2 linked regions of the Macaca fascicularis genome follow. The protein of the gene in region 1 purifies or fractionates together with the protein of each later gene. This does not show direct contact. Links are inferred from orthologs where the notes say so. Each region holds a gene or a part of one and is shown on either strand. Other genes may lie near its edges.

The links. The genes of interacting proteins can lie anywhere in the genome.
Region 2: the proteins of RIGI (region 1) and SQSTM1 purify together in Homo sapiens (affinity purification with western blotting; 5 studies listed by BioGRID). This does not show direct contact. The link is inferred for Macaca fascicularis from reciprocal best matches to the Homo sapiens genes RIGI and SQSTM1.

Annotation. Positions count from the first base shown.
Region 1 is NC_088389.1:66,632,931-66,636,587, reverse strand, and holds part of RIGI (antiviral innate immune response receptor RIG-I), read right to left. Parts: intron 1,741-3,657; coding exon 1,444-1,740; 3' UTR 1-1,443.
Region 2 is NC_088380.1:186,727,999-186,730,562, reverse strand, and holds the end of SQSTM1 (sequestosome-1), read right to left. Parts: intron 2,487-2,564; coding exon 2,291-2,486; intron 1,374-2,290; coding exon 1,216-1,373; 3' UTR 509-1,215; downstream 1-508. Other genes in the region: MRNIP (MRN complex-interacting protein), read left to right, coding at 1-375. UniProt on the Homo sapiens protein: Molecular adapter required for selective macroautophagy (aggrephagy) by acting as a bridge between polyubiquitinated proteins and autophagosomes.

The DNA.
Region 1 (3,657 bases):
AAATCAACTCATAAACTTGGTTTAAATAATCAATTTGTATTGGATCTTAGTAAGAATACTGCTACTAGTAATTATTATCAAGCAACTACTGTGTCATGTACATTTCACACATTCTTTTAATTAAAAACTCTCCACTAACCCTTACAGTTCAGTATTATCCTTGTTTTATAGATGAAGAAAAGCCAAAGAGAAGTTATATAACTGGCAAGTTTCTCTGGCTCCCTGCCTGCACCATTGCTCACTAGATTGCATGGAGAGGGAGGCGGCTGGAACACCTCATCCCGTTGATCTCCAGGGAACTCAGGCACTTGCTTCCATGTCTAGAAAAACCGCAAACTAAGCTCTTTGAAGCATGAGCAAACCTTGCTAAGTGACACATGAATGCCATTTGGATACATATTCTAATCTTTCAAGTAGAAAGGACAGTCAGACTGCCTCACCTGTAACATCCAAGGGATCTGAGAACAGACATTCAGTCCAGGTGTTGAACATCAACCATTAAAGGAAAATCGTCAAAGAGAACAATGGCACATATTAAGAGAACATATTAATAGGGTAAGATATATAGTAAACTAAGTTTTCAAGAAATATTTTATCATTTTTATGCTCACTACTAAAAGCTGTCCACTGTAGAGTGGACACACATTGCTACATACAGCAACTCTAGAGTGGACAGCTTTTAGTAGTGAGCATAAAAATGGCTTTATGTACTCATGTTCTCTGTGTAGCCGTACCACATGTTGCTACACAGGGAACATGAGTACATATAACCATTACATATACATACCTGTATGTATGTATAATAGTTATATATACATATTTACAGTATATACATGTATATATATTGAACCCTTGGAATTACCAACCCTTAAGGGATCAGCAAAGAGGAGGACTCAATAAAAAAGACTAGACTAGAACTAGAAGAGAGAAGAGCCCAGGGACAGTTTCAAGAAGAGTGCTCAACAGGGCCAAATGTGCAGAGGTCAAATAGAAGGTCAAGAAGTGCCCAGTGGATTTGGCAACCAGAGTCACTGGTAACCTTCAAAAGAACAATTTCAGTAGATTGTTAATGGCAAAAGCCAATGTACAGTAGGTTAAGGAGAAAAAAGGAGATAAAAATTCCCAACATTCCATTCATTCATCTATCCCGGTGTGTACAGAGTGATTACTGTGTGTTTGTTGGCAGTTACTCTAAAAAGAAAGCTAGAAATGAGGCTTTTAAATTTTTCCCAAGTACTAAGAGCTCTGTTGGCCTACAAAATATTCAGTGCTGTGATTCACTCATGTGTGCTTTGCATATATAATATAATACAAACTGTTAAAGATATTTTTAAAAAAATATTTTCACAGGCGTACAAGCGATCCATGATTATACCCACTATGTTTGTTTCTTCTCCACTCAAAGTTACTCATTCCCTGTAGCTGAAGATTGAGGCCCTGATATCATTTGGCCATTTCTGCTGGATCAAATGGTATCTTCTCAAAATGAAAGTCCTTCCATTTCGAGTACAGTGTCTGAACTCCAGTTGCAATATCCTCCACCACAAAACTTTCAATTTTTATAACTGGAATCTCAAATGTCTTGTACTTCATATGGATTCCCCAGTCATGGCTGCAGTTCTGTCGGGCACAGAATATCTTTTCTCTTTTATCAAAATTTGAAAACTTCTTTGGCTTGGGATGTGGTCTCCTCACAAAGCATTCCTTAAAAGCATCTCCAAGCACAGTGTAATGGCATTCCTACAGATAAAGGGATGGAATAACACACAAAAGAGAACATTAGAACCAGTACATAATTGTGATTAAAAAAAAAAAAAAGAGAGAACTCCACAATAATCTGAGATGAAGAATAGGTGGGTCTCACTTATTTTACAATTGGAGGAAAACAAATATGGATTCACCTAAAGTCCAGAGGACGATCCATGCACCTGACTCCCTTCTACAGGCAGGGTAGTGTTGCAAGTGAGACACTGGGCACCTCATAGAGAGGAAGATTAAGAAAGACCCAGGTAACCCAGCTTCTGAAGGTAGATACTTATTATTCAAAAACACAAGCGATGTTTGTTGAAAATCTGTGAAGCTGAAGTTCACCAGTGGCCCTAGCAGGCACAATCCAAAGGATACAGGGAAAATGACCAAGGTCAAGGTGCAATTGAAGAAGGTCAGGGACTAACGTGTTCACAGGCCCCACCTAGAGTCAACTTTAGAGTAAACGGCTCAAACAAATGCAGATCCAACATACTAGTCCCTCAGGAAAACATAGGGTCTAAAAGGGCCATTTTTAGTAGAATAATCACCCAAATTGGAGCTAAAAGGACCTTTTACGCTAAAGCAGCAGACTTAGAAAGGTAAGGGAACTTAGCAATATGACTCCTAATATGCTTTTTGCCCAAACAGCTGAGCTGATGAGAGATTTCTGCTTTCTGAAGATGAATGGAACACCCTGAAGTAATAACTCCTCATCTGAGCCAGCCCAGCCCCTCCACCGTAACCCCACATGCAAGACAGTTATACCCCACATTTCTCTTTGGAGATTTTTCTAACCCTTTTTCTGAAAGTTTTAAGAACAAAATACAAGGCTGCAATAGAAAGCCAACCTTCAGATGTCACATTTTACAAATAAGGATATATTTTCTTCATTATAGAAGTGATCCATAGCCCAAAAGGAATGTTTGGAAAACATAAAGTACTAGGGAAAGAGAAAAAGATCATGGAATCTCACCACCAAAATATTAATACATTTTGGTATAGTTCCCCTAGCCTTTGTTTTTCTGTAGAAAGGTAAGTTTTTTGACTTTTTCTTGACAGTGACAATGGTATTTGCTGCTGTTTCACACAGCTATAAAGTAGCATCTTTATAATTTTGTGTTCTGGTTACTTTTTTCCACATTAGTTTGTAAGCAGTTTTTCATTATACTACATAAACTTCATAATCTTTAAAATAAACTTTACTTTGGAACAATTTTAGATTTACAGAAAAATTGCAAAGATATCCCAGAAAATTTCTGCATACCCTTTGCCCAGTTTCCCCAAATGCTAACATTTCATATACCACAGTACATTTGTCAAAACCAAGATATTAACCTCAGTACATTACTATTATCTAAACTACAGATTTTACCACTCTTTCTCTAGTCATATCCTTTATCTGTTCCAGGAGCTAATCCAGGACACTTCATTGCATGTAGCATGACTTTTTTTTTTTTTTTTTTTTTTTTTTTTTTTTGAGACAGAGTCTTGCTCTGTCACCCAGACTAGAGTGCAGTGGTGCGACATCAGCTCACTGCAACCTCCGCCTCCTGGGTTCAAGTGATTCTCCTGCCTCAGCCTCCTGAGTAGCTGGGATTACAGGTGCCCACCACCATGCCCAGCTTATTTTTGTATTTTTAGTAGAGAGAGGGTTTTGCCATGTTGGCCAGGCTGGTCTCGAACTCCTGACCTCAGGTGATCCACCTGCCTCAAAGTACTGGGATTACAGGCATGAGCCACCATGCTCGGCCTGACCACTTTAATGGCTTTTTTTTAAATGGCTGTGTAATATTAAGTGGCTGTACAGCAATGTTTTAAAACTATTTTTTTCTTTTTTTGAGCCAGGGTCTTACTCTGTCATCCAGACTAGAGTGCAGTGGTGCAATCATGGCTTACTGCAGCCTTGAT
Region 2 (2,564 bases), on another chromosome or scaffold:
ACCGCCACCTCCTCTAAATGGGCGCGATTTGTCCTGTCACCTAGAAACAGTTCACATGTGGACAGAGAGCAGCCAACGCCTCTTCAGAGGGATCCTGGGCCAGCTGCTCCAGCACAGGCTAAGCAGGGGACCCCCGGGACCCCCAGAGCACAGGCCTCAAGGGAAGGCCTCAGCAGGCCCACTGACGCTGTCCAGCTTCCTCGGGCCACACACCCCACCACATCCGGGCCTGAGAGGCCCTGCGGGAAGACCTCATGGGACGCAAGGACTCCCTGGGCAGAGGGTGGGCCCCTGGTCCAGGAGCCACAGAATCCCCAACTCCCACGACTGTGTGACCTCTTTACAACTGGTGAAGACTTTGATGATGATCTGTGACTGGCAGGTTATTATTAATCGAGATACACTTGTTAGGAGGGACAGGGTTCCCTAAGGCACTTTTAAAGATACTGTATAAGAACCACCAATAAACTTACTGTCAAACAGATCATTTCTCTCTATGCAAATGTCATTGGTTAAAGTGCTGATGCCATTTAATTAGATCGTTTACAAACGTAACAGGATGGCTACAAAGAGATCTTATTTTAAAAGCAGCTGATGGTTTGGCAATGAGAGAACTACAGTGGTGGAGAGACCAGGAGGCAGCTCTCAGCGAAACCAACATTACGGATGCCCTGCATGAGCCTTCTCAGTCCCAGCAGGAAGCCCACCACACTGGCTGCCCCGGCCTCCCCACTGCCTGTGCCAGGACAGCCGCCTCCCCTGCTTACCCGCCAACAACACCTAGGCATCCTTTATCTAAAATCAGAGCGTACCAGGTCTCTAGCAGAAAATCAACTAAATGTCAGGGACCTCCGAGTCATTTAAAAAGAGAAAGTGGAAGGCCATTAGGCAAGCTATGTCTGGGCTGCTAATGTGGCCCCTGCAGGGAGGGGCCAGGAGCACTGCGGTGAGCCTCAGGTCTCGCAGGCCCAGCCCTGCTGCAGGGAACCAGAGCACCCAGGAGACCAGTCTTGCTTCTCAGACATCACACACACGGGGACCCTCCCCTCATGTCACTTGTTTTGCTGCCCTAAATGGCTTCTTCCACCCTAACCCCTGATCCCCTGATCCTGGAAGGCGGCAGAGAAACTGGCCCGTACAGAGACCTGCAATTCTACACTAGCTTAACAGCTACGAGACAGAAGAGGGGGACACAGAAGAGGTGGGTAAAAGCGGTCACAATGGCGGGGAGTGCTTTGAATACTGGATGGTGTCCAGAGCCGCCCCGATGTCGTAATTCTTGGTCTGCAGGAGCCTGGTGAGCCAGCCGCCTTCGTCAGAGAAGCCCATGGACAGCATCTGGGAGAGGGACTCAATCAGCCGCGGGTCAGCCTCTGCCAAAACAGTAAGGAAGCCATGAGGAGTGATGCTGAGCCCTGTGAGTGACCCGAAACACACACCCTCCTGCCTTGGCCAGCGGGACCAAGGCCTGCCAGTGTCCGAGTGCCCAGAGCTCTGGCCCTCACAGGCCACAGTGGACCTGCTTTCCCTGTAAAGGGCCAACCAGTCTTTTTCACACTGTTCAACTCTGCCACTGTGACACAAGGCAGCCAGGTGGTATGTAAACAAAACTATCGCTGGACACTGAAATACGCATTTCCTCTAACTGTCACATCTTTTGATTGAAAAATACAAGAACTACTCTTGGCCCATAGGCCATAGCTCGCCATCCCCTGCCCTAAGGCAGAGAAGACACACTGGCAGCGCACAGCAGGTTGTGCACAGACCTTGGTTTACACACACACGGCTGCAGTGACAATGAGGAGTCTCTGTCAGCTGTCCCCACCCCCCACCGCTGCCTTCCACACCATCCACTTCAACGGTGGCTTCTGCCTGGCTCTTCCAGGGATCTTGGCTATGACCCCCACTCAGACCAGCACTCCCTGAGGAGACACTGAAGAGGTCTGAGCCCAGTGTGAGTAGTAGGGACACACCCAGTGCTGCCCCCTCTCTGTGTCACACCTACCTTAATTCCTGGTCTGCATGTTAAGTTTTAGAAACTCCTACAATTAATATTCCTGGCTCTGGAGTTTGCTTAAAGAAAAACATTTTTAGAACTCCTGCATTAGCAGAGCTTACTCACTGCTGCTCAGGGTAGACGTAAGAGGACAAAACCAACTCCTAACCTCCCACACCTACAGACAAGCCCTGCAGTGGAGAACGTCCCATCCTGTTTGTGTCGCTGGAATCGGGGGGCAGGATGCTCTGAAGGGAAAGGTAGGACTGAACACAGAACTCTTGGTTCACTTGCCTGGTGGGAGATGCGGGTACAAGGCAGCTTCCTTCAGCCCTGTGGGTCCCTCCTGGGAGGGGTCCAGAGAGCTTGGCCCTTCGGATTCTGGCATCTGTAGGGACTGGAGTTCACCTGTGGACGGGTCCACTTCTTTTGAAGACAAATGGGTCCAGTCATCGTCTCCTCCTGAGCAGTTATCAGACTCCATCTGTTCCTGAAACAGAACTCACCATGAGCATACAAGAGACACGCGCAACAGGCCAAGCCTGACCATGGCACTGACTCCTGGCAA